Notamacropus eugenii: one gene and its partners. The main gene of each other region encodes a partner of the protein of the gene in region 4 in a complex. Links are inferred from orthologs where the notes say so. Each region holds a gene or a part of one and is shown on either strand. Other genes may lie near its edges.

Region 1 (6,838 bases), on a different chromosome or scaffold from region 4:
GGCTCGTGCACCAGTCAACTCTTTTCCCACCAGATGCACTTCTTGGACTAGACTCTACCATGCTCCCAGTGCAGGATACCTTGCCCATACCTCCTTTTTCAGCTTTTGTGTATTGTCTTCCTGTTAGGGAATGCCTTATTTGTTTCCCTACTGCTTAGTACAGGTCCTGGCACATAGTAGGTACTTAATATTAAGTAGCTGACTTGCCCAATTTAGATATTGGATGTGAGAAGTTTAAACTGATTTACTTTTTTTTTGGATCCTATTTACAATTCACTTATTTTGTCCTGTTAACTGCCTTAATCAGGGTTCTTTGTCCATGAGCATAGTCCAGAATTCAACTGGCCTGTAAAAGGTTTAAGTTTAGAAACCCAGTTCTCTTTAGCTAAGCTCAGGATGTGGTTTGCCATAAGGGTCTTTACACCACACCAAGCAATCCTTTCAAGAATATCTAGTTTGTTATCCAAAGTCACTAGTTCTTGAAGCTGAATACTTTTTAGTCACAGGAGGAAAGGAGGTGGTCACTGCTAGCGCCCCTCATTACCAAACTTCCAACCAATCTTGTACCCCATACCTCAGTTATGTAACCATCAACTATTGGGTTCTCAACACCATACATATTACCTGCTCTGTACTGTTTTTCTGTTCTATGCTTACAAAAATGAGCTGCATCTTCAATTTGGGGTCTTTGGCTAGAAACTGAAGCAGCCATTGACCTCAGGTTCATGCCCAGTTAATAAAATTGTTATCTTGGTCCGAGATATTTGCTTCTATTTACATTTTTCGTTAAATTTCACTAGCAATAGTGGTCATTATCTACCAGATCCTAGGTTATTTTCCCTCCTTTCTCAAGTTTTTACAGGCTCAAGACTTCTCAACCCAATTTATACCTCAAAAATGTCACTGGGAAACATTTAACAATAAAAACACAGTACAACTTAGTATCACATTTTTAAATTAAGCTAATATGGGGCCAGCAGGGATCCTGATGTACAGATTAGTAGACTTTTGACAGGTCTTTACCGGTAACTTGATGCTATAAGAGCTGATCAACCTCTGGTTCTCTAATGCATCACTAAATTACCTTCTGCCTCTTTGGTGGGTGGGGCCATTACCCCAAAGCTTCCAATTAAGGATCTTCCAGTTCTGGCCTTATTTCTCACCTGTCTGCACTTTCAAGTCCCAGGAAGTTCATTATTGGAAAAAACCTCTTCATCTTGCAAAAGATCTCAACAGCCATGGTTACTCCACCTTATCACCACCCTCTGTCCCTGACTGGAAAGAGAAGCCATGGACTACAAAACCTCCATTTAAGCAGGGAGATTACAGAACACCCAATTTCTAACCTCTCTGTACCATCTGGGATGTCTGATGTACCCACTCGGTGAGCATGGAACTGTCACCCCATCCCTTTACTACGGTGCCTGGCACATAGCAGGCATGGACTAGTACCGATCACTGCGGTAGGGGACTTCAAATACATGCCTTAATTCCTTCAAACACCAGAAACTATTACTTCAACAGCCTCAATTCCTATGACCTATTCCATGCAGCTAAGAGGGGGCAGTGGATAGTGCTGAGTCTTTTCCTGCATCGGTACTGTTTATGGGTCCCCTTCCTCCAACACACGGCACAGTGGGGAGAGAATAGGAAAACACAATTACAAAGAAACCCTTATCTGATCCTCACAACCTTGCTAAAAGGTAGATGTTATTATCACCATTACTTTACAGTTGAGGAAACTGAGGCAGGCAATAGGCTAAAAGTGACTTGCCCAGGATGATAGAACCAGTAAGTCCCGCAGGACTTTAACTTGGGTCCTCCTGAGACCCAGGATTCGATCTGGTGGTCAACGTATTTGTCTAGAACGGGTAGTTTTTCTTGTCATTATTCAGAAATGTTATACAAATATTATGTATAATTATTTCTTTTACTAAAGTCCTAGGTGAATAGCCAACACTCACCTTTTTCCCCCAGGAGGATTTCTTTTTCTCTCCCCCTCCAGTGACAGGAGTTAATTGGCTGTACTTGGGAGCAGTTTTTGGCTAGTTTCCTAATTTTCATCCAGTCATAAGAATTCCCTGAGCTTCCTTTGTACTTTAGCTAATTTGGAGACCATTTTACTCCATCTCCAACCTTTTTACGATCCAATGGGGAGGAGGGGAGGCACACAGCGAGGCGGTCTCATGGCAAAGCAGGCCTGGGCAAGTCACTTTTCACCCTGTTTGCCACTATTTCCTCGGTTTCCTCATCTGTAAAAGGAGCCGGAAAAAATGTCCCCCCCCCCAGGCTCTCTGCCAAGAACACGAGCTGCGGCACGGAGGGGGGTCCCTGCAGGCTGGGCCCGGCCCTCCCTCCTCCCCACCTCCCTGCGAGCTCACGCGTCTCCCCAACCGCCCCGCCCAGGCTCCTCCCGCCCGCGCGGCCTCGGACGCGTCTCTCCGTGGTCCCGATTACATCAGAAATGCCACTCACCATCTCCCCGCGCGCTCACCCGTTACGTTACCAGAACCTCGGGTTCCCAAAGCCCTTCTCGTGAGGGCTCGTGCGGCGCGGAGGAACCCGCTGAATCTCACCCACGTGGCGCCTCCCCTCTTGGGGCCTGCTTCCTGTTCTATGAATGGGGTTCCGGAGAAGCTCCCGTTTCTTTAATCACGCCGATTAAGATCGAAATATCGGTGTGGCCCGAGGGAAGAAAAAGTATTACCGACTCCCACTAAGTGGGGCATTCCCACCGGGCCCACGACCCAGCCGGCGCTCCTGGGCCTCCGACATTCGCGGAGGATTCGTCCCAGCTAGCCCCCCACCGGGGCGAGGCCCAGTGGAGGCCGCACGGCGAAACCCGAACAGGGCCTCCTGGCTCCTCTTAAGGGCCAAGTCACCAGAGGCCTAGTGAGAAGTCTGCCCCGGGCAGGGAGGAAGACGGGAGAGAGAAAGAGGGCCACTCACCATGCGCTCCCTTCCACACTCGCAGAGATGAAGGCAGACCTACAGGTGCGCGAGGAATAAAAAGGACGCTGGGAGCTCGCCGCCTGACTAAGAAGGGTGACGAAATCTCGCGAGATCAGGTGGCTGCCGGCTGAGAAAGCGGGAGCGGGATTGGCGCGAGGAGGAAGGCGGAAGCGGAGAGCGTGGGGAGGAGCCGGAGTGGGAATGAGGTCGTGCCCCTCCCTCGAGCGCCATCTTGCGTGGCGGGGGCGGAGCCTAGAGTTCGGGAGCGGGTGGGGACATGGAGAGAAGGCGGAGCCAGGTGCGCTCAGTCCTCCGTCCAGGTTGCCATCGCGGCGGTCCGGACGAGCGGCTGACGCGGAGGGGGCGGCCGAGGCTCCGTAAGTGGGTCGGCCTGGAGTGTGGTGGGGCGGCCGAGGAGGAGGGAGCGCGGGGACCTCGGGGGAGCCCCGCCAACCTCCCTCGCCGCGGCCTTTGGCGGCCCAGCGCGATGTGAACCGGCTGAGCTGACGAGGGAGACCCGAGTTCGAGCTCTGCCCGGGGCCCCCCGCGGGGGGTGTGGCCCCAGCCAGGTCCCGAGGCCTCTTTTAGCCTGTCAGCCAGTGAAATCTTAAGTGTTTATTGTGTGGTCGCTGCGCTGCTAAGCGCCCGGAGTTCCAGGAAGGGAAGGGAACAAGCGTTTATTAAGCGCCTGCTGTGTGCCTGACGCTGTGCTAAGCGCTACCTTGCCAGGCCGCGCTTTCACCGTCCCCATTTTACAGATGCGGAAACTGAGGCACACAGAGAAGTGATTTGCCCAGGGTCGCCTAGCTGGCTAGGGCTGCATTTGAACTCGGGTCTTCGTGACTTGAGGCTCAATCTACCAAAGTGCATTCCTGCCTGAGACAGAAGGGCACCACTGAAGAGGTTGAGGGGTGAAGGGGGACCCCAAGATACCGACGGTCCAGGTGGAGCTTGAATGAATTTCACTCAAGCCTTCTCAAAGCCAAAGAAAACAAAGTTTATTAAGGATTCGCCTAATTGAGTTGCCTCTTAAGCAGCCCAAGCATGTGTAAGGCTTGTATTCACAAGCAGGCTAGATGGAATCCCAGCTAGACAGAGTCTGAGCGCCTTCATGGGGGCGAGATGGAACTTAAATACAGAAAAGACTGTAGGAGGGATCTGGGGGGGTGGTCTGGGGTCCAGGGTGATGGGAGGAGGGGTTTAGGGAGGGTCTTGAGGAGAAGTCCTAGGAGGGAATCCAAGGAGGGTCACAGGCTGGAAACAGCTGGAGGCTATCAGGAGATAGCAGACATTGGAGGGTTTGGGTGGGAAGCAGGTGGGGCAATCGAGAGATAACAGGTAATGGTCCCAGATTTGAGTATGAAAAGCCAGGTTCTGTGGGGAGATACCCGAGGAGCTCAATTTGTGTATAAAAGGTCAGGTTAAGTGAGGAGATTCCAAGGGAGCTCAAGGAAGTTCCCAGAGTCTGAACCTCATCACCACATGCCCAGCACAAGGCCCTAGGAGGGCTTCCCAAGGGGTGGGGAGCCCCTCCTCTGGCAGGTAGTGACAGGGCCTGGGCCAGGGTCAGGGGACACAAGGGTGGAAGTTTCCCCAACCATGATGTGGGGGTGATGATGCTTGGCATTTATGTAACCACTTAGCAGCACCTAATAATATTGCCTTTCTTACTGGGTCTAAGAATCCAGGGAGAGAAGGAGGAGGACTTAACAAGCTACCGTGTCATCTAGGTGCTAGCGATGGTCTTCCTTCAGGAAGATATGCCTCCTACTCTCAAGCTATGAACTTCTGCTGGGGAGGCTGGAGCTGTGTTCTGATTTGCCCCATGTCATATCTGTCTTGAACTAGCAGCTGACGCAGGGATTCTCAACCACTAGCTCTTTATGTTTTGTCTCTGGTCATCCCAGATTTTCAGAGGGCCATTCTGCCTTTTGGTTCCCCACTTATCTGTGCTGGTGTAAAATCCTGGGCAAGTGTCATGCCTTGGTTGTTGAATGCTTGGACTAGTAAAGCAACAGCCAAAGGGCCATTTAAATGTACCTTTGTACAAACTACCTGTATTGTGTGCCAGCCCCTAGGGAAGGTGGAGATTAAAGAGTGTTGTCTTTTCTTTTTTTGTGTGGGGATGGGGGGAAGGAATGGAGGCTTTTTGTTTTCTGGATCAAACATCATTTCAAAGGTATAGGAAACTCCCTGTGAAGAAAGGCCTCCTATTTCTATACAGAAGGCACCACCTACTCTGCAGTTTAGAGTCTTGGAAAAGTGCCTGGGGCACTGAGAAGGAATTTGCCCAGGGTCAGGTAAACAAACAAGAAATACAGAAAAGCTTTTGGTTGTGTTGGGGGTTGCTCTTCAACCTCAAACAGCTAATCAATGTAATACAAGTAATAAGTTATATATTTTTAAAATGTTGCATTATTGTACAGTGATATACCTACTTTTAAGCAATGAAACTGAACACCTACTCTTCAGTAAGCTGTTTTTTTTCTATTGAGAAGACAGAAGAACTGTTACTGTTCTAACCTGTCCATCCCCAAGGTAGCCCCATCAATAAGACCCCATTCTCCCTGACTCATGTTATCTACCAAGTGCCACCCTCCGAACAACTTATTCAGCATCTGATGCTTGTTCTTGTGAGGAAAACTTACAGTTCCTGAAGCCAAGAAGTCAACCTCTTTGAATTGCAAAAAATTAAAACTGGCACTGAAGAGGCGGGCCCTCAGGGAAGAGATTTCACCAAGTCAAAGATGGTATAGTAGGATTTTTAAGTTTAAGTTAGATTACAAGAGATGATTTTTAATAGAATAGTATAGAAGGAAGTGCAAAATACAGCCTATATATGTACACACACGCACATACATATTGTGGAACGAGAGTCATGGGTTGGGAGGTGGATTATCAAGGAAGGCTTTGAAAGAAGTGTTGAATTTGGATTGTATTTCACTTTGGGATCACTTGAGAAAGGCAGCACTGAAGACCCCCAATAGGAAGTCAAGGGTGGCAGCTAGTGGTCTGGTGGATAGTACTTTGGACCTGGAATCAGAGAAGGAGATCTTAGTTCAGATTTGGCCTCAGATACTTATTGGCTGTGAGACCTCAAACAAGTCAGTTTACTTCGGTCAGCCTCAGTTTTCTCAACAGTAAATGGCAATAATTAATAGCACCTACCTTCCCAGGATTGTTGTGAGGATCAAATGAAATAATAGTTGTTTTAAAAAAAAGGCACTTAGCACCTTTCCTAGCACATAGTAGGTGCTATATAAATGCTTAATCCTTCCTTCTCTTTCTCAGTAGTTATTTACAATTTTGTCCACATTTTCTGAGATAATCTACAAGCATTTACAAGGTTCTGGAGATACAAAGACAAAAATAAAACAATTTTTTCTCTCCAGTATATATTCTGTTGGTAGACATGGGATAGGCACAGACTTGAAGTCAGGATGTGGATTCAAATTGTAATCATTTAACCTCTCTGTACTTCAGTTTCCTCATCTGTGAAATAGACAAACATGTTGGACTCTGATCTCCTTAATAAGGTCCCTTTGGGCACTTAATTTATGATCCCGTGATCTTCTAAAAAGTATCAGGACTGGACCTGTGCTTTCATTAGTGTGGGGAATTCACTGATAATGAAGCTTTCTCTGCTGATGCAGTTTAACCCGTTCTCTGAAAATTATGTACTGTAGTTTTCAGAGAATTCACTAGGGCAACAAGGTTAACTGATTTGCCAGGAGGTCACACAGACGGTATGGTTCAGAGTTCTGATTTCCTGATTTGGAAGGCAATTCTCTGTCCATTACAGCATACTGCCTCTCACCCTATCACTATATACAAAATAAATAAAAGGTTTTTGGAGGAAGGAGGCAACTAGGGAAAGTTCTGTCAT
Region 2 (7,186 bases), about 330 Mb from region 4:
ATGCTGAAACACATTACAAATAAGGAATTACGTGGGAGAAGTATAAAATATGACATCAAAGAGTATGATCAGACTGAAGTGAACTCATCACCACATAGACAGGCAACCAGTGAACTAACCAGCCTTTGTGCTCTACTAGGATCCACACAATGGAAGAGGATGCAAGAAAGGGCCCAATGAGAGCATTAATGAAAGTAAATAAAAAAACACAGGCTGGACAGGGATGAGTTGCAATCTGTACCACTGGAGGGAATACCCAAATTGATAAGAATGAATTACCCTTTGAAGATATTTATGTTGCAAGTGCATTACAACTCATTTGACCCTTCACAGTAACTGTAAGATAATATATGTATTTTATATTTATGTTATCCCCATTTCACTGATGAGGAAACTAAGAATTAGAAAGGTTAAGTAATTTATTCATGGTCAGTCACACAACTAACGAGTGTCAGAGGCAGGATACAAACTCAGGCCACTCCTGACTCTAGATCCATTTCTCTTTCTCCCACAATAGCAGACAGTAATAATACTAAGTAGTATTATTGCCTTGGGGACTCCATCATCCTGCACTGTCTTGTTCTCCTCCACTCTCTTCCTAGGATCTTAACCACAAAAATTTGAAAACATACTACAGCTTTACAAAAAGTACATAGCTTTAATCACTTATAAGAAGATGAAAAACAAGGGAGCATGGTACCACAGGAGCAGACAGGTCTAGGGTGTCAGATAAGGATTCAGCATTTAACCAGGGGCCTACCTTTCAAATAGGACGAGTTGAGTCCAATTGGTAGGTAGTGATCAAGAGTCTTCTTTCTCTTGGAACCTAAAGAGAATAGATTGTCAGAGTAGACAGATTGTCAGATTAGACAGAAAGTACTTCCTAGAAATGAACTGGACAATCAATCAAGAGAAGTCACATATCTTTCCCATCTGACGTGTTTTCTCAGAAAAGACTCTTCAACTAATCTGGGCTATGTGGAAACAGTGGGAGGAAAAGGATGAGCTTGACCACTGTTGAATGTATATATTAATAATCATAGTGTTCTCATTTAAGTGTCATGAGAACCCTGTGAAGTAGGTATTAAGATGATTTTAAAGCTGAGCAAACTTATGACTTATCCATGGTGACAAAGCTGGTAAGTATCAGAATCAAAATTTCAATTGAGGTCTTTATGAATCTGAGGCTGAGAACACAATCCACTTGGACCCACTGTGGATCCAGATGTAGGATTCATGTCCTAACACCTCGGGGAGAGGAGGTTGGAGGAGAAGGAAAGAAGGAAATCCTTGCTCACCGGCAATTAGTACAGGTATAGAAGACAGTCTGTCCTTCATCAGCTGAGCGCATCTGCCGGGTATGATATGCCATTCCTTCATGACCACAGTTGGAACAGCGCCTGTCAATCTGAGAAATCAGTAAATTAGGAGGGACTCATAGCTCCCTGCTCAAAAACTTTCAGTGGTTCCTTAGTACCTATAGAATTTAATATCAACTTGTGCGCCAGGTATTTTACGGTTTTCCCACCACAATCTATGTCTAACTTAGCTTATTATTTATAGTATTCCCCTGCTTGTGCTCTACAGCCAGACAAAAGGGATTAATTAACTAGCTGTTTCCTGATCCTAACTGTAGCCTATTGACCATTTCTAAAATGTGTTCACCTGTTGAAATTCTTCTCTTCCTTTAAGGCCCAATGTAATACAGCAGAAAGATGCTGAATTTGGATCTGAGATCAAATCCCAAACTGCCCAACCCAAGAGCTGTTTGTTTCTAGGCAAGTCACCATCTGTCTGGGCCACAATTTCATTTTCATTGAATGAAATCAGACTGGATAATCTATAAGGCTCCTTCTATCTCTGGTAGCCTAAGATTTACAACTCCTTTATGAAACCTTCCCTTATCTTTCAGCTAAAACTGATCTTCACCTTCTCAGATTATCTTGTATTTTGCATGAATTAGATTTAGCCTTTACCAATCCACTTTGCCTCAAAATATTACACACTGCAGGCCCCTATTATATCTAATGATATGATGCAGTACACAGAAAAGATAATAATTATTTGTTGAATCTGCTGGCTTGATCCATACATATGTTAAGACTTCGAGATCTAACGTCTCATGGAGCCATGTAACTGAAGCGGAATGACTCTCACTCAACTCACCACTGGTCCCTGGAACTCGGGCCCCTCTTCCTCTGGCACCATCAGGGGTGTTCCCAACTTGTGGAACACGACCGAGGTGGCCACCACCTTCCCCTCGAACTCTGGAAGAGAAGGAGGAGGGCTGCTCGTTGCTCAGGCACAAGGTGAGATCCTGCACCGTTTCCCCCGGCCTCTCTCCGTCCCTACGGGTCCCACCCCCTGGTTAATGGCACCTTCAGGGCTGGCCTCTGGACACCAGACTGTCTCTCAAGCTCAGGGCCTTCCCCCACAACCTCCCTGCACCGAGAATCCATGCTCGTCAAAGCCTCTTATTCCAGAGGGGCTCTTACCCCGCACGTCTATGGAGAAATCACACCTGGGGCAAGTTACTGTGTCCAAAGTTCCTGGAAGAGGCAGAATTGAGCCGCATTCGGGGCAGAAATCCGAGTCCGAATGGAAGCTGGAGTCCATGGAGATGACCTGGGAGGAAGAGACTAAGCGGGGGCCATTCTTTTCTCCTCGCAGGACCTGGGGTCCGGCGAATCCCCTGCCTCCCTCCGCCCGTGACTGCTCTCAGTGCCCGACCCGCATCCTGCCCCAACGGTAGCTTCTCACCAGGATTCCGGCTCCAGGAGCAAGCCCGCGCCTCGGATCGGGACGTCAGCTCGCGCTGGCAGACGCGCCGGCCTGCGCTGGGCTGGGCCACGCGGGGCTGGGCCACGCGGGGCTGGGCCACGCGGGGCTGGGCCACGCGGGGCTGGGCTAGGGGAGCGCCGGGCTCTGGAGAGGCTGTAGCGTCACAGTGAGAACACGTGACCGCCTCCAGCATCCTGGAGCGCCGCGAGATTTCCGCGTCCCCGCAGCCCCGCCCACGGCGGACGTACGGGCGCGGCCTCTGTACCTAGGGTTATCTTCTAGACTCGAGCAGACGCTTCTCTCCTCTTGTCCTCCGGGTCTAGTCTCTGTCCCGAGGTCTGTTCCGCAGTGTGACTTTAAGGAACAACCTCCCCCAGGCCTTTGTCCCACTGCTGCTGCTGTTTGCACTACACAGTAAGGGGACCCGGAGGCTTCCCTATGGGTGCTGGAGCCGGACTCGCTGTGCGTTGTAGTTTTTTTTTTTTTTGCCTCTTCTCCCTTCCTAGGCCATGGCGGGGTTGGGGGGGGGGGGAGCCTTTGAATGATGGGAATTTAATCTCAGATGAATCAATCTGGCAAGAGTAGTCGGAGATCAGAACTCAGACATGAGCATAATTTCATCTCTTCCTCTCGACCCCAGACCTTCATTTTTATAGAGAAAATACAAGAAGCCAGGGAGTAAGGAGGATTTCCATGAGAAGATATGGTGTTCCCATTCATGAGATATTTGGCAAGGATAGATGATTTAGGTGTACACGGGCAGCGGCGTCACTCTTGGAGGTCTTTGTAGTTAAGGAAGCAATGAGTTTTAACAATATCTGTGAGATTCCAACTGGGTCATGTGCAACAGTGGAATCCATTTTAGTTATCAAATTAGCTGATCCATCAGTAAGCGTTTCTAAAATAGGTTTGCTTTTGTAAGTGGAATTTTTGTTTTTAGTCGTTTTTTCAGTAGTGTCAAACTCTTCATGGAATTTCACAGATATTGTTACAACTCCACAAGAACCTCCAAGAGTGATGCTGCCCATGTAAGCGTAATAATACTTAATGCTTATATAGGAGCAGCTATAATACATAGGTATGTATCTATATGTATCTATAGGTACAATAGATAGAGCTCAAGGTTTGGAAACAGGAAGATTCATCTTCCCGAATGAAAATCCAGCCTCTCGGTTTACCAACTGTGTTATCACAAGCAGGTCACTTAACCCTGTTTGCTTTCCCTGTAAAATGAGCTGTATCTTTGCCAAGAAAACCCCAAATGAGATCACAAAGAGTCCAACAAGACAAACATGATTAAACAACAATGCTTATATAAAAAAAAGTATGCATTAAATAAACTTATAAAACATGCCAGGCCTATGCTAAACACTGAGAATACAAAGAACATGCAAAAAAATGATCTGTAACTTCAAGGAGCTTACATTCTAATGGAGACATGTATGTTAAGTAAGCACATGTAGAATAGAGAGAGGGTAGCCTTTGGAGGAAAGGTACTAGCTGTTGTGAAGGGACCAAGAACTGCAGAAGGGGGTACTTGAACTAAGTCTTGAAACCAGGGATTCCAAGAGGTATGGAAGTGAGGAGTTCATGGAGGGCAGTCAGTACAAAGGTGAGCAGATGGGAGAGAACTTAAATGTGTGAGGATTGTCAAATAGACTGGATTGTACAGTGTGTGAGGAGAGTAATGTGTAAGAAAACTGGTGTTGGGGCAGACCTAATTCATGTTGGAATGAAATGAAGCACTCATAGATCATTAGAATATCAGTTAACAAAATGTTTGCACAGCCATATCATAGAAAGGATATTCAACAAGGATACTCCAGCATTTTAGTTTGCATAGACCAGGAAATTTGTCTGGTCACCAGGGCAGAATGTGGTGATTCTACAGTCACAGGTTTTAGGACACCCACCAAATCTGAAGGACCTTGATATCCATATAGGTGGCTCACAGGTAAACCATGCCATTATGACCAGAGGCTACTTCAAGGAAAGCACAGTTTGAATACTCTCAGCCCCCATCAACTTCTTAGAACAACTTTGCTTCCTTTCAAGGAAAAACTAGCCTAACCCATGTAGTAGGGAAGGGGAGAGCTCTAATAGTAGTGATTTTATTGCAACTGGAAAGCTAGGAGGAGTCCAGGTTATGAAGGACTTTAAATGCCACATTGAGCTTATGTTTGATGCTATAGATAATGGGAAAATATTGAGTGTTTACTGAGTGGGGTAAGGGGCAGGATGGATGACTTTGTCAAAGTTACACTTTAGGAAAGTCACTTTATGTCAAGAATGGATTAGAGTGGGAGAGACTTGAGGCATAGAGACCAATTAAAAGGTTGTATATTTCAGAACAGGTAAGAAGTGATCTGAGGACCCAAACTGGGGTTGTGACTGTGTTAGAGAAAATATCTAGTGGGATATCAATTTTGCAATATCTAAATCATTTAAATATTAAGCATGCAATCTCATGTAACCTCAGACTAGGTCAGTGATGACATAGAAGAATGTTTGTGACCTTCCCTTGTGTTGACATCAACCTGCACTATAAATAAACCCATGTCAACAGCAACTTCTCATCCTAAAGGATGTCAGAAGATTATTCAGAGTATTAGGGACTAGAGTGTTGGAGAGTAACTCTCTTGAATGATGATTTGAGAGCAAGGGTAGGAAAGGGAAAGGTTGGTAACTAAAGCTTAGGGAGCAGACTGGGACAAAGAAGAACCAGAGTACAAAGATGTTGTATCTGCAGATTGAGGCCCAGAGGGCAAGAGCCAAGAGGCTACAGAAGGAGAAAGAGCTGAAATGTCCAGAGATAAGAAATGTGCCAGAAAAGAAAAGAAGTTCTAAGAGTGCTGGATCTAGTGTAGAAATATGGGATAATGGAATACCAGAAGAGAAGCCAGGCTCTCCTGTGTCCAGCTCTACACTCCCAGACTCAGAATGGGTAAAGCTAAGTCCTCAAGAGAAGTAAGCACAATTTTGGGTTATTGTTCCATTTTTGAACAAATCAGGGGGCAAAATTTTCCTTATTCTTCTCAGAAAGGGCAACTTCTTTACATTGGGAAAAACTACCCTTTTTCTCTCTTTTGTGTGTATGTATATGTGTATACATATCTACATATATATAAATATAAAATATACATATATAAATAATCTATGTATTTAATATATGTGTGTATATGTGTATGTATCTATCCACATCTAATGTAGTATTAGTGGGAAGGGAGAAAAAAGTCCTTGCTTGAGAAATACCCTTATTTACAGTTATATAAGCATTAGATTTCTTGGTCCAACTTTGTGATAGAATTTACTCATTATCTTAGTTATTTAAAACAGTTTCCAAAGTTTTAATACTTATGTCTTTTTCATTGTTTAGATTATCCTGGGCAAAAAGTACCGAAGACCCTCGCATTGCCATAGGTCATCACTCTCCACTAGAAAAAAAAATTGTGGTAAGTTAATTAGCATAGCACTGTGCAATAGAGAGTTATGGTATCTTCATTTAGCAAGTTTCCGTGCTAGCAAAATTTCCCAGTTCAGGTTGGAAAACAAAATATTAATATTTACATAATGCTTTAAGATTTGCAAAGCACTTTACAAATATGATCTCATTTGATTCTCATGGACCACAGCCCTCTGGGAGGTGGTGATACTATTATCCTCATTCTACAGAATAATTCTGAAGACAAGCTAAAGTGACTTGTCCAGATCACACAGTTATTGCTAGTTAAGTGTCTGAGACTGAATTTGAACTCAAGTCAAACTTTTGGGTTGAAAACTCTCAAAAATAATCATCATGGTATATATATTTCTTACTTTGTTAGCAATGAGGCCTCAATATATATATACATATATATGTATGTATGTATGTATGTATATACACTTAGCAGTGAAAGTGAATCAAGCCTAATTGCTATTTTTACCAAAGGTAGAGAAAGCCAGTCAGTGTCTTGTCTCTGAGGGAGCCTTCACTGTCTTCCCTTGTGTACAATAGTGTAGAAAAATGTAAAAAAAAAAAAAATCCCTTCATTTTGACAGTTTAGTTGGTCTACATACTTGTGTACAATAATGTAGAAAAATGGAAAAAAAAAAATCCCTTCATTTTGACAGAGTTTAGGTGGTGTGCATACTCCAGCAGCAAGAAATCTGTTAGCTCAAAGACATAAAGAGGAACATGAGACCCTCTCTAAAGAAAAGGCTATGTCTTTTGACCACCGACTTGCTAAGGCAGAGAATTACTACTATACGAGAATCATGGAAATGATGGAAGAACAGAATGAATTTAAAAAGCCCAGAATGGAGCCAGTGACAACACCAAAAAGCCAGAGAAGCTTAGAGTCTGAAGAATGGGACTACGTAGTATCAGAAAGAGAGTTAAAGCAAATAGAGTGTCACATACACAGAG
Region 3 (7,426 bases), about 64 Mb from region 4:
GAGCCTCTATATCAAAGGAAAAATATTGCCAGCATCCAAAAAGAAACATTTTGAATACTAAAGAACCACAAACAGGATCACACAAGACCTGGTAGCTTTCATAATATATGGAAGATGTTGGAACATGATATTCCAAAAGGAAAAAAAAAATGGGACTTATAACCAAGAATAATTTACCCTGCAAAGCTGAATATAATCCTATGGAGAGGGAAAAGGTGGAAGGATTTTTTTTCTCTCATGTTTCAAGTATCTCTGATGAAAAGATTAGAGCCAAGTAGAAATTTCGAAATATCAGCATGAGTCCAGAAAAACCTAGAAAACTAAATTTAGTTCAGCAAATGGAAGGAGTTGTATAATGATACAGTACTGAAGCTCCAATAGGAGAAGACATTTACCTTCAGAACCTCAATGTCTTCAGAGTATTATATAGCAGGAATTAAATTAGAAAAAGAAGGGCCTGATGGTAGATTGATTCTGTTCTAAAGGTTTTAAGAAGGAAAAGAGTAAAATAAAAGGAAATATACTAGTGTAGAAAGGAGGAAGAAAGGGGTGGAATTTTATATTCCTTATAATTGTTACACATTTAAAGAGCACACAAACATGGAGCGAGAGGGATGGGCATCAGCTACACCTTACTTTTATTTGAAACAAAGGTGGGTTGAACACACAATACAATTTAATGTAGAAATACATTAAACTCAATAGGGAAACAAGGGTGGGGGAGGGTGGTGTATAATTTGAGGTTAAGGGGAAGGATAATAGCTGGGAGAGAACAGTTACAAACAAAACAAATTTCCTGATCCTAAGACAGTATGGGAGGGATGTAACGGGGTGGGGGGGGGGGGGGCGGTTGGGGGGGGGGGGGGAGAAAAGCAAAGAGCTGCTAGAATCAAAGGGTGTGTTCAGCAACTGGGGAATGCCTAAATTCTTATTACTCTGTAAAAAAAAAATTACAGAAAAGCAAGATTTCAGAGAAATCTGGACAGCACAGACTAATGTAGAAACAAGACAATGATTTGTACAAGAACAATAATATTACAAAGGAAAACAATTTTGAAAGGCAGGAACTCTGATCAAAGCAATGACCAACCATATCTCTTAGAGGACCTGTGAGAAAGCATGTTACCCATCTCCTGACAGAGGTAATGGACTAAAGGTGCTGAGGCATACATTTTTGGATGCGGTCACTATGTGAATTCATTTTGCTTGACTATGTTTGTTCATTAAGGAGTTGTTTTTATCTCTGTGTGTATTTTTAATTGGGATTAGGGATGGAACTCTATGGGGGCAATAAAGCTTAATAAAAGTGATTCTTTTAAAAAAGAGAGCCATTGAAACTTTTTCTAAAAATTTGCAGAAAAGAAGGAAGTTTATCAGAAAGCATAGACAAGCCGGTTTTGAAATTAGCATGTGAAATTTATTATGTACTTTTAGAAACAGTATAAAATGGAGATTCATGGTTTCATAAACAAGATCTTTTTTTTTTATTTTGTTACGTGTATGGAAACTCACTTTTTTTGCCATTTAAGTTGAGGAAAATTAAAACAAAAAATTGATTTTCAAAAATCTACATATTTTGCTAGAATATTTTCTAGAGTACATTTTGCCTGCCTTTTTCCATTGCCTCCACAAACAAGTTGGTCACATAGCAGGGATTGTCTGGCCGGATCCCCATGCCCACCACAACAAAAATGGAAATGGAAGAAATTAAAGGGAAAGAAAAGAATTGTCATCATGCTCTAAACCCTACCTTGTATTTTACGTGTGTTCATGTTGTATCTATCTCCTCTAGTGGAATATAGGTTCCATGAGGGTAGACAGTTGTGCCACTTTGAAAAAGAAAGAAAAGCAAGCTTTGCTTCTCCAATGCTATTCCACATAATAGAACCTTAATCAGTCTTTGTTTAAGTGAATTGAAACATTTCCAGAGTTCACTGAGTCTACCCTATCTAGACTTTAATGCAGCTAGGTGAAGAAGTGAGTGAGTGGCCAGAATGCAGCTGAAATGAGTCAGGAAAGTTTGAGTTCAAATTCGGTTTCATGTACTCAATGCATGACCCTGGGCAAGTCCATTAACTTCTACAGGGTCTCTCCTGTTTCTCATTTGTAACATGAGGGAGTTGGGTTTGATAGGGTCTAAGGCTCCTTCCACCTCTAAATCTAGGAGCTTTTGAATGAAGTCAATCTGTTGATTAACTGTTTTTACTATTATCTTACTTCATGCCTTTCAAGCCAGGTTATCCTGGGGGTTGGGGAGGGGGTGAGTAGGGAGAAGGTTTGCTAGGGGAAGAAGGCTCGATGAAGCTGGGTTCCAATCTGCCAGGTCTCTTGTATTCACTTCCTAACCTCAAGAGGAAGGCAGTGGACATAAACCAAACAGCCTGCTTCCAAATGGGAAGGGAGCCATCTCTGACTTTTGTCAGTCAAGGAATAAAAACTCCATAATTGCCATTCCTGTAAATGGGAATAACCCAGCTTCATTCCAAAGTACTTTACATAATGGTGTCTTGGCCCAGCAGCACGTAAGTGCAGGCTAGGAGCCAGGTCTAATTCGGGAGAGGGAAATCTTCCTGAGCCTCAGTTTCCTCCTGGACCGTAGGGGACGCGAGAAGGGAGGCCGATTGCGTGGTCACTTCCAAGGGCCCTTTCAGCTGGAAATACCATGCCAGTAATACACCGGTGAGCGCACAGAACATCCATCTACCGTTGCTACATTGTCACCATCCACAGACACTGATTCGGTTGTGCTCCAGGCACAGCGAATGTGGATACAGGGATATCCTAAATGAAATAATCCCTAGCGGAGAATGTAGCACTCAGAAGCACCAGTTTTGGCCTGGGCTTCCCCCCCATTATGTAAGCAGGCAGATGTGTGATGAGGTTATGCTGGGAACGTGTTTTGAATCCTCCCTGGAAACAGGAGGGAATACACAAGCGTCCGGCCATCCCCTAAACACATGCTTTGTGGGTGAGAAAAGCAACTGTATCCGCACCAGAGTGTGCGTGAGAGTGCAGGGCGAGCCTCGCTGCCCTCCGCCCGAGGAGAAAGGCCATCCCACCGCCCACCCCGGCCCAGGCACCAGTACAAGCCTCGTGGAGGAGCTCCCCTCCTAGAAGGTCCCTCGGGTTCCCAGGGCTGAAAGAGCCATTTCCTCCGCCGAGGAGACAGAAAACCAACCGGCCAGCAGAAACCTCCTGCAGAGGAGGAGGGAGGGCCCAGGCGCCCCCCACCCCCTGCAAGTCTCCGATAAACCCCAGGCCCCGGAGGGACAGTTAAAGCTGAGAAATGCCTCCTCCTTCTCTCCCCGCCCCTGACGCAGGCCTAACAGGAAAGAGGCCGCCTAGGAGTAGAGGGGGATCCCGGCCAGCTTCGGCAGGCGGGGGCTGGGGCTGCCTGGGTCCCTCCCGCGCCTCTCGCGCCGGGCGGGGGTGGGGGGGTTGAGACTGCTCCAGCCGCCCTTTCTCCGGGATGACCCAGGCCTTTTTGACAAGCAAGCTGATCCCGTGGTGGGGATTGGCTAGCCGGACCGTGACGCCCATAACAACAAAGGTGGAGTTGGAAGAAATTAGATTAAAGGGGAGAAAAAAAATTAAAGGGGGATCTCGCTGGGGCGAAAAGGAGACAGACCGAGAGGGAGAGAGAGGAGAGAAGGCCGATCCAGCTCCCCATCTGCACCTCTCCCCAGCCCTTTCCCCGGAGCCCCGCCTCGCTCCTAGCTCTCCCTTCGCTCTCGAGCTCGGGTTTGGGGGTTTTTTTCGCCTAGGGGTGGGAGGTAGGGGGAGTCTTCTCTCTGGTTGGTGACAAGCCTCCCTCTTCAGCATCATCGCCCACCCTAGGGGAGAACTTTTGGAGAAAATCACGCGTATTACGAATTCCACGGAGGGGCATAAAAACCAGAAGGCCCTAAAGGAACAGAGCTGGAACCGAAGGGGGGGGTGCTTTTTTGTTTTTCTGGAAATATAAGAAGAGAATTTAGACATATCATACCCCCCCCCTTTCTCCTCCTCCTCTTCTCTTGGCTTCAGTGTTGCAAAAGCAAAGAGCAATAAAAAAAAAAAAACGCGCACACAGACACACACAGAGACACACACAACACCCTAGTCGCGAGAAGGGAGAGTTGAAAAGAAGCAAGAGGGAGAGAAGCCAGGGAGAAAAGAGAAGGGAGGGAGGGGTGGTGTGCGGGGAAAAGAGAAGCAGGTTTCCTAATAAATCCACCTCCGTCTCTCTCCCCCCCCACCCCCCTCCCCTCTTCTCCAGCCCAGGGTAGGGAAGAGAGGAGCCGGAGAGAGCAGATGGAGGAGTGGAGTCCGCTGTAGGGCTGTGGAGCTTGGCTGGAGGATGGAGGAGCCGCCAAGCGCCCGGCTGATTGGAAGAAAAAAGCAGAGCGATGGAGGCGGGGGTAGGAGGACGATTTCTCTGCGGGGACTGGCGGCGGAGTCCACGCCCGGGTCGGGCGCTGCAGAGCTTGGCTAGCTTTCAACCAGCGCTCCCCGGCACCAGCCCCACTCGCCCCCCACCCCCGGCCCTCCCGGCGGCTCCGCAGGTGAGTGCGAGAAGGAAGGGGAAAGCCACAAAGAGGGGAAAAGTGGTGGGGTTTTTTCCTTTTTCCAGCCCCCCAGCGGGAGGGGAGGGGTCGGTGGGGGGAGATTGAGGGAGCTCGGCCGAAGAGGAGGGGGAAAGGAGAGGCCGGGGAAGGCCTGGGAGGCGGCGGCGGTGGGGCTGGGGCACTGACAGGGCGAGCGCTCGGAGCGCTGCTGCGCTGCGCCGGGGCGGGCGGACGGAGCGGGGCGGGCGGAGCGCCGCGCGTGTGGCTCGCCATTAGCCGTCCCTCCGCTTCGCCATCGCGGGCTTTGTCTGGCGACTCGCTCCCCTGGCGTCGGCTGCAGCGGTAGCTGCGGATCGGCTCTACGTCCCGCTCCCTCGCCCAGCCACCGCTCCCCGGATCCCCCGCGGCCCTCGACCCCACACCTAGATACACGGAGCCGGGTAAGGAAGCCCTTGCGTCGCCGTATTTCAGGGTAATGGGGGAACGGAGAGAGGAGCTGCGGGAGGCGGATCTCCATGCGCTCGGGGAAGGCCCGAGCGAGCCATGCCGAGCCGAACTGAGCCTGCTCCTTGGAGGCAGCACTTCAGACCCGATTCCCGCGGCGTTTCCGGGGTGTAGAGAGAAATGGAAAAAAATGGGGGGGAAGGGAGGTTTGCTGTGATTTTTTTTTTTAAACAAGATTTTGGGACAGTGTTTTTCTGAGAAGGCGAGCGAAGCCCGGCGAGAAAGGGGAGAAAGCGGTAGCCGCCGCTCTGCGGCCAGCTCGTTCCCCGGCCCCGCAGCGCCGATTTGGGGGTGAAGGTAGTGGTAGTAACGAGGAGCTAGCAGAGGGAAGAGGGCACGGATTATGCCCCGGGAGGTAGACGGAGAAGCAAAATTTCTGTGCCAGCTCTGCAGAAAATAGATTATGGAGATTCCTTTGCTCCTTCCCAGGGTCAGGGAGTCCCCTCTCCTGGGCCCGGGCCTTGCGCCCTCCAGCTCTGGCCGAGGCTGCTAGTTCTCCTACGGGTCTGGGGAGGTCGCTCTCGCCGCCAGTTCACTCCTTCTCCCCGGCCCCGATCTCCACCGCCATCCGGGCGGCTGCGTGTCTCTTTCCCTCGGCCCCCCCCTAGCCGCCACCAGCCACCGCTGCCGCCGCCATCTCCCCCCCCTTACTTCCCTCCGCCTCGGCCGCCCGGGTCCCCCCCAGCTCCCCGCCCCTCCTCCCAGCTGCCCCCCGTGGAGCCCGCCCGGGCTGGGCTGTGGGAGGGAGAGGAGCCTTCGGGGCGGGCGGGCGCTCGCTCCCCGGGGGTCGGTGTGCGCTCTACGGGGAAGGACGCGCTCGCTGCCCCGCTTCTCCCGCCCCCCCTCCCCGCTCCTCCTCCTCCCTTCTCCCTCCTCCTTCCCGCTCCGGCGGCGGAGGCTGCAGCGGCGACGGGGGGTGTGCTCGCTGAGCCCGGGGCCGGCCGGCGGGCGGGCTGGCTGCCTGCAGGCGGAGGGCGCTGTGCTTTGTGCTTTTCGCCGCGAGGAGCAGCAGCAGCAGCAGCCGTCGCCGCCGCAGCCACAGCCGCCGCCGCCCCAGCAGCAGCAGCAGCAGCAGCCGCCTCAGCAGCCGCCGCCCCAGCCGCGCTCGGAGGAGGAGGAGCTGCCGCGGGAGGGAGCTGCGGCTGTGCCCGGCAGAGCGGGGGAGGAGGGAGCCGCGGGAGCGGGGCGCCCGGACGCCGAGCTGCGCCCGGTAATCGCGGGACCAGGGCTGGGGAGGAAGAGCGAGAGCTTGCGCCGGAAGGCGAGATCGAGCAACGTGGAGGGAGGGGAGCGAGGGCCGAGCTCGGGAGGACGGCACCCCGGGAGCACGGAAGGGGAGAAAGGGCCGGAGAACGTGGGCAGGGGCCGAGGAGCTGGAGCAGGAGGACGGAGCTGGAGGCCGCGCGAGGGGGCCCGAGCCCCCGGGAGAAATCCTGCCCGGGGGGAGCTGGAGGAGGAGGAGGCTGGGGGGGAAGAGAACGCTGGGCAGACGGAGGAGGACGCGCGGGGCAGCCGGGCGCGGGGAGGCCCAGGCCGAGCCTGGCCGCGGGGCGGGGGAGCCCGCGTTCCTCCCGGGGCGGGAGCCGCAGTTCTCCCGGATCGCCGGAGGGGGCGGCGGGGACGGCGAGTCCTGTACGCCCCCGCCTGCCCGCCCGCCCGCCTCCCCGCCTGGCTGCCTCCCTCCCTTTCGGCCTTGGCTCGGCTCCCCGGGGGCCGGGGCGGGGGCGCCGCCCGGGCTGGGCCGCGAGGCCCGGGGGACGAGGAGGTGCTGACTCCGACCGCTGGGGCCGCGGCTGCTGCTGAGCCCGGCTCCGGATCGGGGGGCGGCGGGTTCCCCCGGGGCTGGGGGTAGGGGAGAGCTCCAGCTGCTCGGCCCGGGGCGGGCTGGCCCGGGCTGGCGGCTCGGGGAAGGGGGGGAGGGCGGTAGGAATCCGGATCCGGGTCCCCGGGGGCGGTGCGGCCGCGGCGCTCCGGGGCTGGCGGTGCCTGCGCAGCGTCCGGGTCCCCGCCGGGCTGCGGAGGCGGGGGGAGCAGGGAATGGGGGGGGCGGAGGAGGAGGAGACTGGCGCGCGCGCCCCTGTTCCCGCGGCGGCGCGCGCCCTTTACCCGCCCTTCTCCTCCCCCCTCTCCTCCGGCCACCCCCTCCTCCGCGCGTGGAGAGAGTTTTGTTTTTTTCCTTGGGGTGGAGCTCGCTGCACCCTGGAGCCCTGAGCAACCACACACGTGGGGGCCTGGGAGGACTCCTGCAAGCCTGCCCACCTCCCCTAGACGGAGCCCTGCTGCAGGGGTGGGCATAGAGTAGGGGGTAGTCCAGAGGGTGGGTGGGAAGTGTGGAGACTGCCCCCTTTCTTTCAGGGGGAGAAGCTGAAGGAGAG
Region 4 (7,878 bases):
TTTGGCTTGCTGCAAGTGACCAGAGGGAAGTAAACAGCCCTTAGGCAGCAGGTTGTGTAGGCCTGAGCTAGGTTCTACTCTATGGATAGCTGTTGAGGGCCAGGGTGGAGTGCGGTTTACAAGATCAGAATAGACCTTCGGGGAAACTGTTCTTTGAGACTGTGCTCATTATCATCCGGAATGGCCCTCCATGCCCCCCCCCTCCCCCCCCAGATGTTGCTGTCCAGGTGAGACAAACAAGAGAATTAACAGAAAACAAGGGATATGTAAAATAGAAGCCCTCTAGGCTCCCAGTCTGATTAAATCAGTCTTATAAGACTGATTTAATCTTATAAGACTGATTTAATCACTAGGGCAGGAGACAAAGCAGAATGTTGGTAGGCTTGCAGTTTCTGTCTATAAATACCCGGACCCTCAGATCAATAAACCGAGTTGGTCTTTCTTCTCCCGCCTCCCGTATCTTCTTCACCACATCACCGAGCCATGTGGAGATGCAGGCCATCTGCTACAGATAGCAATTGATTGGTAGCTGGTGAGCATGTCTGGCCCTTTCCTACAGAATAATGGCCTATTACCCAGAATGATGGCATTAGAATACTAAAAGAACCCTTTTATACTCTCTTCCCTCCTTTAGAATGTAAGCAGTTCATTCTTATTAAGTCCCTTCTGATTAATCACTCATTTTTACATTTCTTATTTTTCTCTTGACTCTTTTATTTGTATTTTAAATTTCCTTTTCAACTCAGGAGTTCATCAGGAATATTTGAAAGCCCTTTACTTCAGTGAAGCTTCATTTTTTGCCCTTACAAGATTGTATTCAATTTTGTTAGGCAAGTTGTTTTCATTTCAAAATCTTTACCTTTTGTACCTTGGAATATCAACACAAAATATTTTAATGTACCACAAAGAATAAAAATGATTGTATATGAAATTGTATTGTGATTGTACATAAGACTCTGGCCTGCTCCATCACCATATAGATCTACTTTACTCCAAACTGGCTGTCCCACCTTAGAGACAGAAGTCTAGTAAAAGGTAGATGATTCCATTTTGCCTGGAGCTGTCTGTCACATGAGAAGGTCTAACCACATAGTTCACTCTCCAGCTAAGCTTTGGGGTGGACTGCTACTAGTCAATCAGTAAACATTTATTAAGTGCCTACTATGTGCATGGTATTAAGTAAGGAGGATACAAAAATAGGTAAAGAACAGTTCTTGCCCTCAAGGGGCTCACAGTCTAATAGGGGATAATCTAATGTTGGGATTGGAGTTAAGAAGACCTGAGTTCCAATCTAGCCACAGTCATTTATTTACTAGCTGTATGACGCTGGACAAGTCACCGAACCTCTGGTAAGCTCTTTATAAACACTTACTTCCATCTTGCTCACTCACCAATGTGTTCCACCTCCATACTGGTTGCTTTATTTTGTTTTCCCATAGCAGAATATAAGCTCCTTGTGAGCAAAGGCTGTCTTCTTTTTGTGTTCTGAGAGCTTGACATGTGTTAAGCATTTAATAAATGCTCTATCCATGTCTGTAAACTTGTTATAGTTTTAAAAAATGTTTATAAAATTTAACAAGCCAGAAACAAACTTGTTATTTGTCTTCTCTTCTAAATTATTTTTCTGTGCATCTCTCTGGTTGTTAGTACCTCCTCTTTTACTTTATATGTACTTTGCATTTACTAATATGTATTTTCATATACTCAGCACATAGCACAGCGCCTGACTCACAGCGGGTATTCAGATAGGTTTGCTGATTAACTTTTTGCATACTAGTTCATAACAGTTTCTGTTGGCCATTGTTGTGGTGGCCAAAGGAGACCATTAAGCGTTAGATAGGGAGGACAACCAGGAGAGAGCTGTTATAGAGGTCAAAGGAGAAGGCAGTGTGAAGAAGGCGATGTTCAACAGTAAGGAATGCTGCAGAGAAATTAAGGAGCATACAGGGAAAAGTCTATTCAATCTGCCAACTAAGTCATTGAGTATTTGTGAGAGAGCAGTTTAAACTAAGTGGGAGCAATCAAAGCTAGATTGCAAGGTTCTAGAAGTTGATCACTGAAGGGGAAGAGATATAGGAGATAGTTTGAAGGGGTAACAAGATCAATGAAAAAAAAATTTAGTAGAAGGGAGGCTTAAGCATATTTACAGATAGACTGTAAATAAACAGAGAAAAAACTGAAGATGAGAAAATGATCCATAATGCATCAAGATGGGAGAAATGAGATGAACAGCTCAAATCTAAGGGTAATACATAGCATGGAGGTAGCTCACCTCATCTTCTGAGACTGGACTCTAAGCTGGAAGGTAAGGATGAACTTTCCACTCATACTAATGACCAATGTTGACTTGCGATAAATCTTTCAACCTTTCAAAGCTTCATTGTCCCTCTAAATCAAAAAATAATCACCTTAAGAAAATCACTTTTCACTCAGGTTCTCATGTGTAAAATTGTATAGCTGGATCAGATGAGCTGTAGAAGCACTTTTTAGTCAAAATTCTATGATCATGCGACTGCACTGTTTTTATATCTTTGCGGTTTAGCGAAGTACTTTGCGCATAGTAGCCATTTATTGTGTTGAATTAAATTTTTAATTTCATAAATTATTTCAGCTCAAGATTTCATCAGCCAAATCCTCAGGTGATGCCTGCAGCTCTTTTTGAAAAATGTTTTCCCCAATTTCATGTAAAAACAATTTTTAACATTTGTTTTTAAAAATTTTTTGAGTTCCAGATTCTCTCCCTCCCTTTCTCCTTGAGAGTGCAAGCAATTTGATGTAGGTTATACATTTGTTGCCTGTAGTTCTGTTAAGTTTCCTTACCAAGCTCAGGCATCTTCCTATCTGTTTTTCCATACCCATATTAATGTAATGGGGTGATGAATCCTTATTGATTTTTCCAAGTATATTGCCTTCAGAAACTGTCAGCCTTAGAGTTGGGAAGGAACTCAGAGATCATATAATCTAACCTACACATGGTAAGAGTCCCTTAAGAATTTACATTTAAAGCTGGAAAGAAACTTAGAGGTCATCTAGCTCAAATCTCTATTTTAGCGACGAGACCTTGAGATTAAACTACTTGCTCCAGGTCACATAGGTAGTACATAGATCCAGGATTCAAACCCAGATCCTACAACCAAATGCAGGGCATTTCTCATACGATACGCTTGCTAAACTATCCCTTTTAAGTGGTATCTTCTAGAAGACCTCCCATGAGGTAAACTCTTTTTCTGAGACATCCCATCCACTTCCTGAGCACTCTAAATTCAGAATGTTTCCTCACGCTGAAGTGAAATTTGCCTTTCTCTGATGGCTAATGAGCTATTTATTCCTAGTTCGACTTTGTGAAATGAAGCAGAATGGTCTAATTTCTCCTCCATTTGAAGGGCTGCACCCTATTTCAGAGCAGGCTCGTCTCTGGGCTGGGCGCCTCGAAACCTAAGACGGGCGAAATGTGCTTCTGTCTGCTCGCCTCCTGCCCAGCCTGGCTGGCTTCTCAAGTCACGTACTTGTGATCAGGGGACGCTCAGTGTCCTGCCAAGGCTGGAAGGGGAGAATTCCTTTTTTAAGGTTCAAGGCAAAGTAAAAGCATCCATTAGGAATATGTTGGCACGGGCATAATCATAACTATGCACAGTTAAACACTGTTTAACAGTGATTCCCGTCTCCCGCTTTCTTCTTCTTCTGCCCAAAACAGGAGTGGAGCGCTCGGACAGACGAGGACAGCCTAAGCCTTTCTGGCAGGACAGCTCCAACCCTCGGTCCTCGTGCTTCCTCTGCGCATCAACAGCTGCGCGCAAAGCCAAGCTGGCAAGTTCATCAAGAGTCAAAGGTCAGGGGTCATCAGCGGCCAGGCACTCAAGTGTCACCCTAAACCCCTCATTCTCCGGATCTGAGACCACAGTGACGGGAAAACCTATTCCGGGAATGCGGGATCCTCAGACGCCGGAAGCGGGGGAGGCGAGAGGCGCCGAAAAGGGGGGGGGGGGTCAAAGGAAGTGACGCAAGCGCTCTCTATAAGGCAACACGCGAGCGCATGCGCCGTCGGATCGTGCTCCGCTGTGCGTTTCACTGCATGCTCCCGGGCTGTCTGAACTTCCGCGGGGTTTCCTCTGGGTCCTAAGGAGAGGTGGAAAGAGGCCAGAGCCGAGCTCCGGTAAGTGTCAGAATGAGAATTCACAGATTCAGGAGCCGCTAACGGTGACTGGGCCTAGTCTCGGACGTCCCCTTACGTCTGGGCCCGCTTATTTATTTTTTTAGTAATGGCTCGGCCTTGTTGCCTTGGGAACTCGAGCCCCTGCCCTCTCCCTTCCCTCGCTTCCTTTCCCTCCTCTACCCCCGGGGAGGCGAGGCTTGGTTGCCATGGTAACCGCGTAACTGGGAGGGCAGACCGGAGGCGGGGAGGTGGCCTAGGACCCTCTGCTCGTCGCTCCGGCTGAGGAGGGGCGGTAATTGGTGAGGTCACGGCCGTCGTCTGTTAAGTCTCGTCCCAATTACGAAACCTCTGTGATGGAGGTCCTAAACTTTACGAAGCTAGTGATCAAAGCCCTGCGGTGGCGATGAAGATGATGATGGCGATGATGGGGATGGAGAAGGACTTCTACGGGGGTTTATAAAGTAACTTCCTCCTAACCTCACGACCCCTAGCAAGCGCCTACTACACCCAGCGTGTGCCCAGCGCTGGGCAGGGGGCAGTTCCCGCCCCCAAGGAGCTCGCAGTCTAATTGAGGGGACACCCTGCGGACAGATCCATGCAAAGACAGCTGTATACTAGGTAAACAGGAAATAGCGAGCCGAGGGAAAGCCCTGCAACCCAGAGGGTGGGGGAAGGCTTCCTGTAGGAGGCGGGATTTTTAGTTGGGACCAGCCGGGGAGGTCAGTGGTCAGAGCCGAGGAGGAAGAGCGGTCCAGACTCGGGGGTCAGTTTGAGAAAGTGCCTGGAGCCAGGAGAAGCGGAGGTGCCCAGCGTTTTTGTGTGCCCTGCTGGGAATTACGCAGCTCCGTGGTGAAGTGTCAGGGCAGGGATGACAAAAAGGAGGCTTTAAAGATCCGTGGGGCTTGCGAGGGCCATGCCGTAGGCTGTCTGATGATGCCCTCACAACCACCTTGGAAGCAGGGGCTGCGGCGGACTGATCCTGACTCAGGTTCTGCAGACCTCCAGCTCAGGGCTCTGCCCACGGTGTCACTTAGCTCCACGCGGACGTGCGAGTCCGGCGCTTGTCCTGTGCTTTTAGAGAGTGAGTTATGGTGTATGTAGTGAGAGCTGTCCTTGGGCCAAGGCTGACATGTAGTGACTGTATGACCCTGGTCAAGTCACTTATCCACTTGGTGCTGTAGACAACTCTGAGTTATAGAAGAGGCCCTGACCCACCTTGGTGGGAGGAGTTTTCTCATAGGAGTTCCCCCTGTCAGTGAAGTGACAGGTCCTGTCCCTGGTGCTCCTTGTGTGTTATTTCATTTGGGCAGACAATATGACTTACCACATTTAAAAAAAGAAGCTGAAGTGCCTAAAGATTAAGCCTTTGAAAATGAGGAAGCTGAGTTGATTTCTAAAGGTTCATCCACCTCTAACATTCCATGAACCTCTGTTATATTATATAATACTTTGTGGTGTACTCAGATTATTTCTTGTCTGTTTTTCTTCAACTAAATTGTTCTGTCATTCTTAATGAATTCTAAGCTCCTCTTATATAACAAAATATTAAGTAATTGTCTACAGTAGAAATCTCAAATACTCCCAACCAGATTAAGAAGTAATTGAAAACTATTTAGCAAAATAAATATACATAGAACATAGATAATGTTAATATGTGGTTTCTTAAGTTAATATGCAGCTTCAGGGATCCTTATTATTTAGAATTTAGTGGACTCTGTTTCTGTTTGGGATTGATACCATTGTTCTACACATCAAACCACTAATTAGAAAATTGTGATTCTTTTTACACTTTATCCTATCTCTGATCACTTGTTAAAGCAGGCTGGTAGAATCAGTAGTGTCTTGTCACAGATTTAACAGTGAGAGGACTTGAGTAGACTGTATGAGAAAACTGAGGCCCAGAGGGCATGTGTCACATAATTACTAATCAAAGGAAATTTCACCAAGTCCAGTCCTCTGTTAATATCTGTTAACTTGAGCAAAACCATGACTGATTTACATTGTTAAAACCTATAAAACTTGTATTAAGATCTTAGATTTGAAGCTTGAAGGAACCTTAGAGATCATGCCAATTGAGGCAGACACTGATAAGTGACTTGTCCAGGGTCACACAGTTAGGAATTGTCTGAGGCCAGATTTGAACTCAGGAAGATGAGTCTTCCTGACTCCATGCCCAGGCCTGACTCCAGGGACTCTATCTGCTGTGCCACCTAGGTGCCTATATACTGAAAGTGCTTAATAAATGTCTTTTTAAATTGATTTATATGGATGTTACCTTCTGGTCCATTTCAGTTACTACTGACAGCTCAATTTTGTTTTAAACTAAAGGAAATTCCAGGCACATTGAAGTGCATGCTATATTTGTTAGTTTTTTAAAAATGCTTTTTGAGCTATAGATTTATGTGCAGAATTTGTAAATATTCTTTTTCATTTGGAGTAGATATGGATACTTTCAGTGATGAACTAACGAGTCCTGGGGAAGAGGATGATCAAGTAGAAGCATCAGTAGGCGCTGGTCCAGAAATACATTTACCTTGGCGTTTACAGCACATCCAGAGTATAGGTAAGTGGAGCTGAACTATGGGAATAATATACACAATATGAAAAACAGATATAGGAATTTGGGCTTCCTGATTGTTTGGATTCTAGATAAATAAGAGTTACCATATCATGAGGATTTCTTTATAAATCTTATTCTTTCACTGAAAGTGGGCCTCATATACTCTTAGGGTTCTAGGGAAGTATGTTTCCCTAGTATAGGGTTATGAGCTATATACTATATGCAGTTATCCTTTCCACATTGAGAAGTAGGGGGTTAGGGGTGCAGCACCCCTGTAATCTGGAAAATCTACTTAAAATGTTTTGGCCCTCTCTTCGTACCAGAGAAGAGGTCTGATTATTTTCTTTTTCTTTCATGGAGTGTTTACAATACCTTATAAAATTTAGGTTAAGTATTTGACTCTGTGTCATCTGCTGTCCTTTTAGTTTCATGTGTGGCTTCCACAAAACTCCCCCAAAATTTCCTTTTAATTTTTTATGCTGGCCCACAATATATAGAAACCACAGTGGGGAAAGTTGTAAGGTGGAAAGGATAACTGTATAGTATATATTCTTAACTCTAGCTTATATTTTTTGGAAAGATAATTGGATTGAGAATCAGGCAAGACTTAGATTCTAGATGTCACTCTGGCAAATATTGTCATTGGGACTTTGGGTAGATAAATTTACGTCTTTGCTTCTTAGCTCCTTCATCTGTAAAATGAGGTGTTTAGACAAAATGACTTTTTTGTACTTGAGTTTTTATTTCATAATCATAAACTTAACTATATTGCCTATTCAGACTTGTGAAAGGAATCCAAAGAGAACTGTAGCAAGTGAGAGCACAAGCATTATAGGGTATGAGAGCAGTAGGAATTTAGGGGGCTCTTCCTGGTTTAGAGGAATGGTTTAGTGGTTAAGATAAAAGCAAAAAAATCCCCAAAAACAAAATAAGCCACTTATGAGAGGTGTCCACAGTCAGGAGTGGTGATCTTCTTGCTATTCTTGCCATCCCAGGAAATGAAGTACTCCATGGCTTCTATGATGTTCATATATTTTTTCACTTAGCCAAAGATCACATGCTTGCCATCTAGCCAGTCAGTCCTAAGATGAAAAACTGGGTGCCATTTGTGTTGGGCCCAACATTTGCTATGGACAAGGTGCCAGGACCAGTGATGAAATTCTCA

The links.
Region 1: TAF1A (region 4) and TAF1D share a complex: the UniProt entries of both Homo sapiens proteins name them as parts of the transcription factor SL1/TIF-IB complex. The link is inferred for Notamacropus eugenii from reciprocal best matches to the Homo sapiens genes TAF1A and TAF1D.
Region 2: TAF1A (region 4) and POLR1H share a complex: the UniProt entries of both Homo sapiens proteins name them as parts of the pol I pre-initiation complex. The link is inferred for Notamacropus eugenii from reciprocal best matches to the Homo sapiens genes TAF1A and POLR1H.
Region 3: TAF1A (region 4) and UBTF share a complex: the UniProt entries of both Homo sapiens proteins name them as parts of the pol I pre-initiation complex. The link is inferred for Notamacropus eugenii from reciprocal best matches to the Homo sapiens genes TAF1A and UBTF.

Annotation. Positions count from the first base shown.
Region 1 is NC_092876.1:164,941,116-164,947,953, reverse strand, and holds the start of TAF1D (TATA box-binding protein-associated factor RNA polymerase I subunit D), read right to left. Parts: upstream 3,014-6,838; 5' UTR 2,950-3,013; intron 2,647-2,949; 5' UTR 2,495-2,646; intron 2,253-2,494; 5' UTR 2,065-2,252; coding exon 1,965-2,064; intron 1-1,964. Other genes in the region: C5H11orf54 (ester hydrolase C11orf54 homolog), read left to right, coding at 3,154-3,329. UniProt on the Homo sapiens protein: Component of the transcription factor SL1/TIF-IB complex, which is involved in the assembly of the PIC (preinitiation complex) during RNA polymerase I-dependent transcription.
Region 2 is NC_092873.1:83,974,235-83,981,420, reverse strand, and holds the start of POLR1H (DNA-directed RNA polymerase I subunit RPA12), read right to left. Parts: upstream 3,011-7,186; 5' UTR 2,761-3,010; intron 2,626-2,760; 5' UTR 2,617-2,625; coding exon 2,496-2,616; intron 2,268-2,495; coding exon 2,167-2,267; intron 1,409-2,166; coding exon 1,299-1,408; intron 827-1,298; coding exon 802-826; 3' UTR 761-801; intron 4-760; 3' UTR 1-3. Other genes in the region: putative uncharacterized protein ZNRD1-AS1, read left to right, coding at 5,516-5,748, 6,158-6,233, 6,892-7,186. UniProt on the Homo sapiens protein: Core component of RNA polymerase I (Pol I), a DNA-dependent RNA polymerase which synthesizes ribosomal RNA precursors using the four ribonucleoside triphosphates as substrates. Can mediate Pol I proofreading of the nascent RNA transcript.
Region 3 is NC_092873.1:349,813,290-349,820,715, forward strand, and holds the start of UBTF (nucleolar transcription factor 1), read left to right. Parts: upstream 1-4,414; 5' UTR 4,415-4,544; intron 4,545-4,858; exon of another isoform or gene 4,859-4,987; intron 4,988-6,144; exon of another isoform or gene 6,145-6,261; intron 6,262-7,426. UniProt on the Homo sapiens protein: Recognizes the ribosomal RNA gene promoter and activates transcription mediated by RNA polymerase I (Pol I) through cooperative interactions with the transcription factor SL1/TIF-IB complex.
Region 4 is NC_092873.1:414,091,005-414,098,882, forward strand, and holds the start of TAF1A (TATA box-binding protein-associated factor RNA polymerase I subunit A), read left to right. Parts: upstream 1-4,861; 5' UTR 4,862-5,083; coding exon 5,084-5,234; intron 5,235-6,593; coding exon 6,594-6,716; intron 6,717-7,650; exon of another isoform or gene 7,651-7,878. UniProt on the Homo sapiens protein: Component of the transcription factor SL1/TIF-IB complex, which is involved in the assembly of the PIC (pre-initiation complex) during RNA polymerase I-dependent transcription.